Lonchura striata: one gene and its partner. The protein of the gene in region 2 interacts with the protein of the main gene of each other region in a biochemical or structural test. Links are inferred from orthologs where the notes say so. Each region holds a gene or a part of one and is shown on either strand. Other genes may lie near its edges.

Region 1 (7,325 bases), on a different chromosome or scaffold from region 2:
GGTGTCTTCAGCAGGGCCAGGAGCCAGACTCAATGATCTTTGTGGGTCCCTTCCAACTCACCATATTCTGTGATTCTGTTTGCTACAGCATCTTCCTAATTTTTTAACCCACTTTTGAAAGCTCTTTTTTTCAACAACAGAGATATGCTACTAAATGATATGGTGGGAACAGCACAGCCTGATAACTTTCAGAAATTAAGTATCATTGTTTACAAGACAAATAGTAAGTCTATGTTCAATGATTTTTGACAGGGACTGGAAAAAAAGGCAACAATGTTTTGTTTCCATGTAAAGTTACTGACAGATAAACCTGAATTTGCTTCCTATCTACTCCATCAATCTAATTATACAGCTGTATTTTATACTTTATGTTCACGGGGGGTGAGGGGGGAAAGAGATTTGAAATAGCCATTAATATTAAGAAACTAATCTCTTCAAAGGCTTTGTACCTTCTGAAATAAAGATAGGAACTGCATAGCTTTAAAATAGAGGAAGATAGAAAAGCATGACTGTAATCAAGATTAAGATTACCAAAAATATGCTTGTCTTTTTTTGTTTTTTTTTTTAGTAGAACATAAGCAGGTTAAATTAGACAATGCATATGAGCTTTGCAAACAGGTTAAAAAACAAATTATTACGTCCTACAAATTCAGACTCTAATTTGAATTTGAAACAATACTTGGTGACTTTCTTCTGTAAACAAAGAAAACTAATTCATCAAGTCAAAGACAAGATCTCTATTGTAAACTACATCAAAGAAAGCTCAGATAAAACATTAGATATTATATAGGCATAAAAACAACACAGCAGCAAACCATAACCAGAACATACGCCTTCTACAGTAAGTACAGATGGATAACTGAGATGTAGCTTTTTACAAAGGTGCATGGATGGCCATAAAAGCAACTGATAATTTATCTGTTACATTTCACTGTCTCCTTAGGGGTTTTTACTTCTGCACAGCCACTGGTACCAGAAACAGACACCTCAGATTCCAAGGATAACTTAAAAAGCTACTGAGTTCATTTCAGTAAGGAATAATTACTACAAATAGAAAGCATTTCAGAGTGTTAACTTAAGTATTCTTAAGTGCTAACTTGATCATATCCATCAACCCACTGGTTCCCCAGCTTCCAGTATCCATGCCTCACTTGAGAAAGCTGGGCATGGTCTGTGTTTTGCTGAAATCCAGCTCCTGCCACCTTTTCTCCACAGTGCTGTTTCCTGTTTGCTGATACCTCCCCTTCTCTACAACAGGAGCTTATTAATTTGTCCAGCCTCAGCTACTGGCTCTGCTGCTGATTCCTGGCACACATCCAGGAGGCACCTGCACGAAGACACGTCTCAGCTGGCAGAGAAATTGTCAGCACATTCAGCAGAAAGAACTCAGCTCTGGGCTCCACCTTCTCAGAAAAGCCTCATTACACACAGGTCATTCCAGTGTTCTCCTTTACTACAAAAACACACGGTCTAAATATTTCCATAAGCAGTTAGAAGGAAGTAAGATATAGACTGCAAGATGCATTATTAATTCAAAAAAGTAACATAGAGAACAAAACTAATCTAAGTTATGGTGGGAATCTGAACATCAGCTAGTATTGCTGAATTTAAATTTTCATGTTGTGGTTGCATCTACCTGAGGATAGCAGATCCAAGAGCAGAATTTTAGATTTGCACACACCCTACAAGTGTGCAATAAATAGATACAATATGGCAAACACGGAACTTCAGCTCAATAAACCTAACTTAATTGCTCCTAAACTCTGTAACACAGTTCAAAGAGCACGTATTTCTAGCAACATACATGATCATACAAAAACAATATATGCCACAAAATTACAGGAAAGAAATTAAAAATGCAGTGCAGAATGACAGGGAAGGAAAAAAAAAAAGTTGTGAAAGCCTTTCCTCTAGAAGAATAATCACTCTATGTTAACAGTAAACCCAGATGCTGGCACAATGCATGATGCTTTTCCATTTGTGAGTCTATTAAGATCATGTAATGACCTCTTTCCTGTTATCATTTCCTGCTCTTAGCCAGGCCATCTCCACAGCCCACACTTTCCACTCTTTCTCTTTTCTTTCTCCTAAACCTGGCAGCATTCACCAGCCCAGAGCTGAGTCACAATTCAGTTACAAAACTTCATGCATCTATATATCCCTTGCATTTACCTATATAGGAAATAGAGGCATACATGTCTATGTTTGTGTATGTATGTATGTATTTGCACATACAATACAGAAACAAACAGCATTATTCAAATTATATAGTATGTATACAGCTATAACATAGACCAATACAGACATATATATATAGCAAATAGGCTAAGTAAAACAATTACAGTTTTTTTTTTTTTTTAACTAGAAACATCAGATTTTTTCCCTGGGGTATTGGGGCTGCAAATACTAGGCATTTCTCCTTCCAAAGATAGAGAGTATTCCTCAAAAAGAAAAAAAAATCCAATAAGTAAATAACATTTTATAAGTTTACCTGCCCCCCTACTGCAGCAAAATAACCATACAAAGGATCCTGAGCTTGTCCAGGGAATGCTGGTCCTCCTGGAGCTCCTCCATACTTTGGAAACAAAAAAGAAAATTAATTTTAAATCAGTAATTCAGTTAAGGATCTGTACTTATCAACATACGTTTTTATGTACACACCATGCCTTAAAAAAAAAAAAAAATCAAAGCAACCAAAACCGAAACTCCTCACGAAAAAAATGCCCCAAACCAACTCTGAATTTCAGTACTGACATACTAAATACATAATGTATTGTAATGTAAGCAGATCAGTGTAAAACCTTGCACAGGAGCAATCGACTGATCTAGATACAGCCTGGTCTATCTCACCAAGGTTTCGTTTTAATTCTACCCCCAGCATAAAACGGCGTGCTTAAGAAACACTAAGGCACTACAAATTTTTTTTCCACTCCAGAAAAGTTGAGCAAAACAGATGTCTAGGGCAAATACATGGAAGAATACGTATTAAGTGTGAAAACCCTTAAAGAAAACCGATTCCTAAGTGAAAATCACGGAATGACACCCCCAGCACTGACTTTCTCCCCGGCAGCAGTTGCGGGGGAGGTGCCTCCTCCCTCCCTTCTCCGCAGCCCCGAGCTGGCGGACCCCGCCCGGCCGGGCAGACTGCGCCCGGCCCGGCTCCCGCCGCTGCCCCGGGCCCCGCCGGCCCCTCGCCCCGCGGGCCCGGCCCCGCTCACCCCGCCCTGGTAGAACCCGCCGGGCGCGGGCTGCCCGGGATACGCCATCTTCGCCTGGCACCGGCTCCGGCGGCCCGGCTGCGCCCGGGAGCAACCACTCGCATACGGAGGGAGGGCGGCGACTTCCAGCCCCGGCCCTTCCCGGAGCCCGCGTCCCGCCGCCCCCCGGGCGGGGCAAGCGGCGACCTGCCGTCAGCAGGGCAGCGGGCGGTGCCGGGCGGTGCCGTCGGGAGGCGAGGGACCGCCCGCTCCGATCTCCTCTCCGCCGAGTTCCCCCTGCGGCGCGGTGGTACAGGCCCATGGCCCCGCGGCGGCGTTTCCCGGCGCAGCGGGGCGGGGCGCGGCGCTGCCTGGGGCCCGGCGGGCGGACGTGGCTGTGTCAGTGCGGGATGAAGGGGGAGTGGCTGTGTCAGTGCGGGATGAAGGGGGAGTGGCTGTGTCAGTGCGGGATGAAGGGGGAGTGGCTGTGTCAGTGCGGGATGCGGGGGGACGTGGCTGTGTCAGTGCGGGATGCGGGGGGACGTGGCTGTGTCAGTGCGGGATGCGGGGGGAGTGGCTGTGTCAGTGCGGGATGCGGGGGGACGTGGCTGTGTCAGTGCGGGATGAAGGGGGAGTGGCTGTGTCAGTGCGGGATGAAGGGGGAGTGGCTGTGTCAGTGCGGGATGAAGGGGGAGTGGCTGTGTCAGTGCGGGATGCGGGGGGACGTGGCTGTGTCAGTGCGGGATGCGGGGGGAGTGGCTGTGTCAGTGCGGGATGAAGGGGGAGTGGCTGTGTCAGTGCGGGATGAAGGGGGAGTGGCTGTGTCAGTGCGGGATGCGGGGGGACATGGCTGTATCAGTGCGGGATGCGGGGGGACGTGGCTGTGTCAGTGCGGGATGAAGGGGGAGTGGCTGAGTCAGTGCGGGATGCGGGGGACGTGGCTGTGTCAGTACGGGATGAAGGGGGAGTGGCTGTGTCAGTGCGGGATGAAGGGGGAGTGGCTGTGTCAGTGCGGGATGCGGGGGGACGTGGCTGTGTCAGTGCGGGATGCGGGGGACGTGGCTGTGTCAGTGCGGGATGAAGGGGGAGTGGCTGTGTCAGTGCGGGATGAAGGGGGAGTGGCTGTGTCAGTGCGGGATGCGGGGGACGTGGCTGTGTCAGTGCGGGATGCGGGGGGAGTGGCTCTGTCAGTGCGGCAGCGCTGAGGGCGCTGGCTCGGCGCTGCGGGCTCAGTTCGCCGGCGGCTCCCGGCCAGCAGCTCTCAGACACCCGCGGGAGGCGAGGCCCGTGGACGGAACCGCTCCGCGGAGGAGGAGGCGGAGCTGGAGCCAGTCCCTGGCGCATCCCGGGGCTCCGCGGAAAATGGTGTTCCGTGGCGGCTGTCACCCACTAAGGTGACAGGAAAGCTCCCGACATGTTCACCGGTGAATCGGTTGATGATTTCAGAACCACCGACTCGTGGTTTGCCAAAAGACCGCAAGACTCATAGACTCGGCAGTCGGTGCATCCGTATCGTGCATCCCAAACTCATCCTTACGTGTTCTCTGTTGGTACCGTTGCTTTTCCTTCAGAACCGGACCACCCATCCCTGACCCCAAAGACACAGAAGAATCTGTATAATTTCCTTTGGGTCTGTAGCTCCAAATTCTGGAGTAGGAGCCGTGTCCCAGTGGAGCGAGGGAGCCCTGTTGCGTTCCGTCGGGGCCGCTCCGGGTTGGGGGATTACCGGGAGAGCACCGCCTTTGATGCAAGAGCCTCCTCCCGGCCGGCGGCGCTCCCCGGTGCAGCCCGTGGTTTTCTCCCGCTGACCGCCCAATACCCCAGGGAGCAGCATCAGCCGGAGCGGCCACGGCTTGGTCTCAGCTGGTCTTGCGACTTTGCAAAACACAGAATTCCCCCCCTCTCCCAGTGAGCGCTATTTAATTCAGACGCAAGATGATGAAAAATCAGTTGCTGGAGTCTGTATGACTGAAACAGGTCTCCTAATAGAGACCTTGCAGGGCAAATGGTCTGCTGTCAGAAATCTGGAAGCACAACAATTTATTATTTTTGTTTATTGACATAATTTCTGAAGAACATTAGAAATTTGAATAAGACCTTAATTCATTTAAGTATGCTAATTTATAGTAAACTTTTCATTTAAAGTGAGTCACTTTTCTCAGCTTCTAAGTCATCTAGTAAACAGGACTTTCAGACATTTTCTATGTGGAATATATTTTATTATTTTAGCATTATTTGCACCTTAAAACTGCTAACAATTGCCAATGACGTGAAAACAAAACTGTTGTTCTGTGTAATATAATAACCAATAGAATTGCCAAATGAGACAAATAATTATTTAATGCTTTAATCACACAGAATAACATATATGAAGCTATGAAGCAACTGAGAAACAAAGTAGTGACCCTGTATAATTTCTTGGCTTAAGAAATACCTATCTCACAAGGGTATTTAACTAAGAGTGTTGATATCAAGATGTGTGGTTGTCAGATAGTTGTTTTGACCAAACTTAATCACGTGCAGTGCAGGTTATTGCAGGCTCTGTGCTGAACTTTGTTAAACTACATATATTAAAGTCTAGGCAAAAAGCCCTCCTAATTAAAATAGGACCTAGGAACAGTGATAAAAATATTAGATTAAAAATAAGTGGCAAAGAATATAAGTGATAAGATTTGAAGAGTTATACAGTGATAAACAAAATTTCAAATGGTATATACATATTGCTAGTAACTTAATAGGAATGAATTTTTCATTACTTCAGTGAGAAACAAACAGGTATGATTTATACCAGTTGGTAGATAAAGACACTACACTGTACAGCTGTAGTTGTATAGAAAAAGGAAGATATTTCATAATTTGGGGTAGGGTTTTTCTGTACTTTAACTCAGTGTAAATAACTGGCCACTCTCCATTTTCAGTACTTCTGCTGAGACGCCTGGCACTCATCGAATCATAGTGTTTAGGCTGGAAAATATCTCTTAGAACATTGAGACCACCTGTTAATCCAGCACTGCCAGGCCCACCACTAAACCATGTCCCTCATTGTCACATCTACAGGTCTTTTAATTTCCCCAGGGATGGTAATTCTGCCACTTCTTTGGGCAGTCTGCTCCAAAGCTCAACAATGCTTTCAATAAAGACATTTCTCCAAATATCCAAAAAGCTCCCCTGGCACAACTTGAGTCTATTTCCTCTTTTGTTACTTGCAAGTAGAAACTGACCCCCACCTCACTACAACCTTTTGTTCAGGCAGTTGTAGAGAGTTCTGTCTCAGTTCAGCCTCCTTTTCTCCAGGCTAATCACCCCAGGTCCTTCCGCTGCTCTTCATCACACTTGTGTTCCAGACTCTTCATCACACTTGTGTTCCAGACTCTTCATCACACTTGTGTTCCAGACTCTTCATCAACTCTGTTGCCCTTCTCTGATCTCACCCCACCACTCAGTGTCCTGCTTGTAGTGAGGGGCCCAAATGCACTGCACTTAGTAGTTAACATTTGCATTATTTATATTTAAACATACATAAGCAAAAGAGCTAGGAGACAGATGTAACCAAGGGATGTATTTTAAATGGATTGTTGGGTAGGCATTTTGTTTGCACTGGTGCATTTGCTTATTCCTTATCTGAGAAAAAGGCTGCAAAGGAAGGATATTAGAGGAGATTAATGAGTACACATCTGCCTTCTGAAGGGTGACTGAGCTGTGGTAACCTTTTAAATTTCCTTAAGTTCATCATATTACAAACACACCAGTAAGAAATCTGTGTGGAATAAATAGCTTCTGATTTTGCAGATCTCAAAGAGTGTGTGATCCCTCTAGTGGGAAAATCGAAGTCAAGCAACATAGGATGCTAGTACTATTGCCTTTTTTTTTTTTTTTTTTTTTTTCTGAGATAATTCACTGTATTTTTCTAAGAAAATGCCTAGGTAAAATAATTTTGTTTAGAAAGGGAAAATTATGTGCACAGTTTTCATTCCATAGCTTTTTCTGGATTCTTTTTAGTAGGATTTTAAGAAAGAATTCAGAACTGAGCTACAGTAATAGTGTTACTGCCTTAAACTCTGGTCACAATTCACACTCATTATGTGTGCAATGCTTCCTCACAGTGAACCAAGGCTAGCATAAACCCAA
Region 2 (7,483 bases):
ATCAGGATTCAAAATCAGCTTCATAATGAAGCATAATGGATGGACCCATTACTCACTTGCTGAGAATCACCTTTACTGACTAGCTTTAGAAATACAAGTCACACATTACATATCGTACACATTCATTCTTGACTCCAGAAAACAGGAATAAAGTGCAGAGCAGAAAAGCCTAGCTCAAATGTTCTTGGGTTTGACTGCCCCCAGATTTCTACCCCCAAATTACTATGCCCAGGCTATATAATATTCTTTTCCCCAGAGGTACAGTCTAACATTTCTCTGCCTGACTCAACAAAAAGACTTTACTGGAATTTAGATTCAATAATCCAAATTTAGGATGTAAAGCCCTGCTCAGATTACTACCAGTGCTGCAGAAAACAACAATTTCACATGTGCTTTTTAAATTGGTTATCACATTGGGCATCATCAATGAGACTAGGAATGAGACTTGATAACAAGTCTAAAAGGTATTTTAAATTAATTCATTGAAGCTATTTTTTAGATCCTAGCTAAGAAAAAAATATTTTTTCAAATGTAGTTGAAAATGAACTACAGCTAAAATCATGAGGGTTCAGCAGAACCTTAAGGGAAGAAAAGAAATTCTAGAGTTAATCATCTTGTTTCTAACATGTTTGTCTTTCATTTGACTGACTTTAATCTTTTAGACGAAGTAAGGGTAGGGTGTAAAGCAAAATCATCAGAGAATTTATTGCATGTACTTATATGTGTATATTTATATTTTGCCATATTTGTATCTTTTCAGTATCTTAAAGGCTTTCGGGCTGAGATCCGTGCCTAAGTCTGCTTCTGTACTGCATAGAACACCAGTAAAACTCCCACAATTACAGCATGACAAGTACCATGAAAGTGCTGTGAGTGCCATGATCAGTGCCATAAAAACACAGAGATCAATCTAGCTTTGGAAAATATTGCAGGCATATCAAAAAGACTGCAGTATCAGCCATACCTGATACATTTCAGCCTTCCATTAAGTTTCCTTCAAATTTTTAGTCCATTCAATTGTGACATGAAGGTGGAACAGTCCTGTGGATAGGGTAGTCAAGACACAGTGTCCTCTATCCTCAGAAAAATAATTACTTGATGTTATATGAAAGCTGGGCTACTTGAGTGAAGTGTTCCAAGTTCTTCCTGATGGCTGTGACCACTGAAGCTTTTTTAACATCTCTGTAAATCCTGGGATATGGCTATGTGAGTATTTTGTACAGATTGGTTCAGAGATTGCTTCTAACCCTACATGTAAAAGGCCTTCTGTTTGCAGAAGAAACTTTTAAAATAAAAAAAAAGAGAGAATTGTTGAGATGAGACAGCTGTATTTAAAAAAACAGGCTCACAAGATAAAATAAAACAAAACCAATGACCTTTCTGGAACAATGGGCATCACTAAAAAAACTAAATGTCTTTTTTGGAATTCTTGTGTGACAGCTGTAGTCATCCCCAGAGATATACAGAGGAAAACAAAGACCATAATCACTAGAGAACAGGGTACATGAACTGACTACTACTATTCACTACTAGCTACTACTTACAGACACATGGAGCACAGTCAGAAGGGATATTCACAGAATAGAAATGCATTAGGAATGCAACACATCCAAGTGCCATACTTACAGGATAACCTGGGAAAGCAGGGTAGCCATCAGAAGGGGGATAACCTGGGTATGACATTCTGGGGAAGAAAAAATAAAAAAGGTATTTTCATTGTGAAGCACTACCTCTGAGTTTGTAGTAGGTATTTGCTTACTAATTATCTATTACTTGAATAATCTGCAATTTATCCACAGAACTTTTCCTCTTTTTCTCTCCTACATCTGACCATAGCAATCAGAATTCAGAAGGGAAGCATTTTCAACTTATAGTAATTATAGTCAATTTACTATCACCCTTATTTAAAGTCAGAGAGACATTTACGCATAGTAAGAAGCTCAAACTTCCAGAAAGCTTTGAAATACAAGATATACTCTGAGGTGCCAGCAGGAGGGAGTTTGGACCCTTTGGCAGGACAGAAACCATGCAGGTTTCTGGACTGCAACCAAGCACCTGTATGTGTCATCCTGCACTGCTCTGCTCACAGGGGTAGTTCCTGGGAGAAGAGCAGTACCCGAGCTATCCCATGTAAAATGGCAATTGGAGAAGAACAGGTCCCTGTTCTTGAACATCCCTCAGCATAACTTCATTTGTGGAGGAAATTTCTATTTCCTGACAAGTGACTGTTTCTTTTAGTCACATTTTTAACAGAGGATCTTGGGGAGTGGGGATAGAGATCACCCCATCCTGCATGTTGCAGGGAGATTCGACACCATTAGCCAGGTTATGAAACTTTTAACGACAGGGGGAAGAAAAATGGACTTTAAATTTGGCACAAGCATCCTCAAGTTGAACAGTGGCTCGACGTAACTAATTTTAGAACGAAAACAACAACAGATTTTTTTTTTTTTTTTCCGTCAGACTCTCGTTTCCCCCCGCTGTCCTGGATGGGCGCGGGGCGGGTTAAAGCGGGGGCCGAGTTGAGTCAGCTGCGGCACCGGCCCGCGGTGAAACATCAGCGGCGCGCTCCGTGCCTTGGGCGGCAGCGCAGCCGCTGAGCACGGAGACGCTTCCCCGGCGCTCCGCCGGCAGCACGGGCCCGCTCCCGCCGCCTTGAAGGGCCCCGCCTGGCGCTGCCCCGCTCCGCTCCGGGCAGTCACGCATCGCCCCAGGCTCCTCCCGCTCCCTCAGCCGCGGCCCGGCACGGCGAATCCTTCGGCGAGCTGCGGACGGAGGCAAGTACCCCGGTGTCCCGGTACCTGCCTCTCCCGAGGCCACCGGACCGCGTCCCCGCTCCACAGCGCCAGGGCAGCCCCCGCCGGGAGTGCGGCTCCCTGGGACAGGCGGCACCTCCCTCGGCCGGACACCTGCCGAGCCCCGAGCGGCCGCGGCTCCGGGAGCGCCGCCCGGGGCTGGGGCCGGGGCCGGGGCGAGCCCCCGGGCGGTGCGAGAGCAGAGCCGGAGCCGCGGCCGAGCCCCCGGGCGACGTGCCGGCAGAGCCGGGGCCGGGGCCGAGGCCCCGGGCGGGGCCGGGCCGGGCCGGGCGCTGGGGCGAGGGGCACGCGAGCGGCGGGCGGCCGTTCCTCCCTCCCCCCAGTCACCTCACCTGAGGGAACCTGCGGAGCCTCCGGCCTCTCTCCGCAGCCACACCGCAAAATGGAGCCCGTGCGGCCGGCGATGCCCGCCCCGCCCCCGGCACCGAGCCCGCCCCGCCCGGCCCGCGGCGGGGGCACCGCACCCGGTGCCGATGGTGAGGGCCCTGTCAGCGCAGAACCCTTTGCTGCCCGTGCAGGCTCGCCTCGGCTCGCTCAAGGAAAGCTGCGAGGTGCCCGAGGTGCTGTCTCGGGACGGACGGGAGGTAAGGTCGCAGCACAAGTGCCACAAACGCAGAGCCACTGGCCAGTGGAGCTGTGACAGGGGAAGCGGGCGCGCAGGAAGCGCCCGGAGATGCTGTCCCGCGGGAGTCCTGTGCCACCCGCTAGGAAAAGGAGAGAAAAGTCCACATTGCAGTTTCCCCGTAGCACCACTGCAATGAATTCAGCCCTAATGCGCGTAGGTTTAAGTCAAGTCTGTAATTCAGTAACACATGCGTCTTTAAATCAAGATCATTGTTTAGTAGCTGCAGGGAGTCCATCAAGTCACCACCGGAACTGCATGCAACAGGCAGAGAATATAAAAAGAACTAATTGCATGCAGCTGGAGGAGCTGCTCCTTTTGCTGTAGTTGCTGAAGACCAGGATCTAAGTCCCAAGAGGACATAAAGGTAGGATTGACTGACTACTACATACATTTTTTCTAGAAAGAAATCTTAATTATAGTTATTTGTATGTAATTATGGGGAGTGCCCTTACTGTTTTGTTTCTGTCTTTTGTAATGTTTATTAATATTATACTTTGAATAGTCATTGCACAGATGTGGTCCTTTCTTTACCTGATGGTTAATTATTCATAAGGCATTCTGACAAACAAGACTTTTATTTATGAAGGACTCACCTATGATATTATGCACCAGTTACTTTAGATTATTAAAAACATTTCCTTTTTTGTTTATGACAGACATGCTAGCAGTTTGGAGACCATTCCAATACAAACAGCTTTGGTTCTTTTCTGTAACCTGGTGCAGCACTTCAGTTCTAGATGAAATAACAACCACTGTTCTCTTTACCCATAGAACAGTGTGAAGTGCAGACAGCAGAAAATAGATGGGTAATAATTTACCATGCTTGCTTGCTTCAAATGAAGAGCACCTAAAGCCACATGAATCTAATACATTACCTATCCAGGAAAATTGGGCTTGTTCTCTCTTGTCTACCCAGAACACATCAGGAGTGGCTTTAAGAATTTAATCCTCACAGCATTCTTCAGCTGACACTCCGAGTGCATGTCTTCTTTCTTTTACCTGTTAAGCACATTTCTTTCAGGACAGGTAAATATTTTAATCCTTGTTTCCATGGGAACCAAGTACATTTATAAAATATACAATTCTTTTTCATTTAGTGGACTGTTTTGACTTAAGCTACTCAAGAAAAGAAAAAATGTTTTAAAACAAATTCCTTTCTTTTTGTGTAAAAGGAAGAAGAGACTATTTTAAACAAAATTACATGTGTTTGAAGAATCTGTTAAATGCATTGAATGTTTATGTATCAACGAGAATGTTTGGAATTACTTCGTTAAATCATGCAATGGAACCATTGGGTGTCATCTAATTTCTGTATTTAGGGAAATCTCTTGGCTTGCTACTTATACCTAGAATCCACACATTTAGGAAAGCTCCTAAAACCCCATGCAGAGTTAAGGCAGCTTCTCACGATTAGAAAATTCAAGTTTAGTGGAGAGACAAACTTTGTTCTTCTCTTTTGTAATATTCTTGCATCTGATCCTAGACATGGTACTGGACAGAATTCTGGTCTGGAGTGACTTGGCTCAACTATGCATTTGTGCTGAGTGCTGTCAAAATAGCTGAAACACAACTTTTTTCTCAGAGGAATTTATTGTTAGTGATGTAGGCAGCTAAAGAATTGCTGCTTCTCTGTGTGTCCTGGTTGGACCATTATTTCCTACTTAAGTAATATAAAGCATGACTCCAGCCAATCTAATTAAATTAAAAACTAAGATTTTTCCCAAGTTTGTTGTAAGAACTGGTCAGCTTTGAACCATAGGTCAAAGTGTAACAAACCCACAGGCTACTGCAGTGGCCCAAGTCTACATTATGTACTAAAACCACTTCTCCTGTTAGACTGCCTTGTGACTGCAGTTATTAAAATGCAGTCGCAGTAAGCTGTTAACCTTCCGTGTGCGGGGAGCGGAGCGAGCGCAGCTCCCGGAGGAGGCAGGAGGAGCCTGTGCTTGGTTAGCTGGCGAGGCAGTCACTGCCCGCTGAGTCATGTAGTGCTCCACCCGCCCTGCTCCGAGCATCAGGGCTTCACACCGCCCTTCGAGAGCTGCCAACCAGCCTCTGCTTCCCCAGTGAGGAAACCGAAGCTTCACCCTTCCTCAAAGCACAGGAAAACAGCAGCTTATGCTGCTTAACTGTTCTAGAAGGGCTGTGTGTCTAACGTTTTCACATCAATTTTAATCATTTGGATTGAACCCGTGAATTTCAGGTACAGGTGGCGTACGTCAACAGGTTCACAAAACCACACACTGAAACACTACCTCCTCTTAGCAGTAGATTTAAGTTTTCTGCCAATAAATTGAAGTGACTCAACTAAAAACACAAATTTAGTGACCTTCATCCCAGTACATGGAAATAATCACCAAATGAAGTTGCTATTCTGTGGTTGCTATGTCAAAACTTTCTTCAAAAAACACCATGATCTGAAAAATTTGAACCATTAAATGGCTGAATTTAAGAATATTAAGTTTAAAGAAGAGAAAGGAAAGCAAAACATTTTTATTGAGACTATTAAAAAAACAGAGTTGAATTCTAATCTTATTTAATGCTCAAAAATAACATTTTCAAGGAGATGAGTATCTTTTCTGGACCTTCAGTTTTCACTTACATTGACCTTGCAATTAGAATTTAGCATTCAGTCGCTGGGGGAACTTTCTAGATTGGAACAACCACTACAGGATCTGTAGATTTGTAATCTGAGTCTTCTTCTTGGGTTTAGCTGGGAAATTACCAGTTTTGGAGAACACTCTTTGGATACTTCAAATTCATTCACCAAACTAGATACAGTCCTTAGTAAGGAGGGAAGAGTTTTATTGTAGAAGAGGGATGGTTTAACTCTGTTAAAGCAGAGTCCCTCCTCAGCACAGCTGAACTGTAAGCCTTCTAAAAGTAATGCTATTGGCAGAGACTGTGCAAAGTTACAGCTGATATTTGTATTTGCTTTCTTCCAGCTGGTACTTAGTTAACATGAAACATACCTTGGGGAGAAAATGAGGTTTCTTTACACATAATTTTGGCAGCAGTACAGCATTATGAAATAGAAAACTCCTGTTTGGCAACACCCAACTTTTAACCTCAAATCTAATGGATTGTCATTTTGCTGTCCTTTTCTTCTTTGGCAAAGATGGAAACTCCGGTAGCCAAGCTTGTTTAGTCACAAATGCTTTTCAAACTCTTTTACCATGAACTCAGTTGCTGGCTTTAATTCTCTAACTCCCTCTTTATGAGGGGCTAATGCTATTGACCTTTACTTCCTTTCCCAAACAATCAGAATTATATGCATAGAAGTGATACCATAAATTGAATTTACTGTTTCGTAGCCTGATGAAGGGATATACACAGCACCACTAATACACCAGAGACTATTCTACAGTCCTTCATGGTAAAGCATATTATATGCAAAACAAATCCCTACACTTTCAGTGTGCTTTAGCAGTTGGAAAAAAAACCTGCAAAGAACTGGACTTCACTCCCATCCATGCTTTCTTTCCTGATGCCTCTTACCACCACCCCCCGCCCCCCTTTCAGAAATGGATTCATTACACAATAAATGAGGAAGTTTTTTTTCTGGACAGAAGCCATTGTTGCCACTGCAATGGAACTTTTATTCCAAATACATTCTTACAATAAAGCTGTATTTTGTTATACAAGTAGACAAACCCACAAGATGTTAAGATTCTCATATTCCATTTTAAAATAGCAGGTTCAACTGAACTGCAGTTGTCCCCATTCATTTCCTAAAACATGTTAGGGATTTTTCAGAGCAGTGGAAATAACAATGTAAACCAAGTCATGTAGGTAATTAAATTACAGTCCAAGGAAATTTCTAACACCACAGAAAAGTGTATCTGCTCATTCTTCAGGTTCCTTTAAGTGTAGGGTGGCAAAAGTTTCTTTATAAACTAAGAAGTTTTTCATTGAGAGCAATCTGTGACTGTGTGAGATTTGCCAAGTAGGTTACCATCAGTAGGTCCTGAAAGGGAGGGGAAAAAACAGTGATCAGAAATATTAACAAATCATAGCTTATTAGATAGCTGAATTTTTAACA

Evidence for each region.
Region 1: the proteins of ANXA7 (region 2) and SRI interact in a biophysical measurement, tested with the Homo sapiens proteins (2 studies listed by BioGRID and IntAct, with this or other methods). The link is inferred for Lonchura striata from reciprocal best matches to the Homo sapiens genes ANXA7 and SRI.

Annotation. Positions count from the first base shown.
Region 1 is NC_134603.1:135,328,497-135,335,821, reverse strand, and holds the start of SRI (sorcin), read right to left. Parts: upstream 3,366-7,325; 5' UTR 3,267-3,365; coding exon 3,219-3,266; intron 2,576-3,218; coding exon 2,492-2,575; intron 1-2,491. UniProt on the Homo sapiens protein: Calcium-binding protein that modulates excitation-contraction coupling in the heart. Contributes to calcium homeostasis in the heart sarcoplasmic reticulum. Modulates the activity of RYR2 calcium channels.
Region 2 is NC_134609.1:12,803,760-12,811,242, forward strand, and holds the start of ANXA7 (annexin A7), read right to left. Parts: upstream 3,242-7,483; 5' UTR 3,149-3,241; intron 1,685-3,148; 5' UTR 1,684-1,684; coding exon 1,627-1,683; intron 1-1,626. Other genes in the region: EIF3F (eukaryotic translation initiation factor 3 subunit F), read right to left, coding at 7,331-7,408. UniProt on the Homo sapiens protein: Calcium/phospholipid-binding protein which promotes membrane fusion and is involved in exocytosis.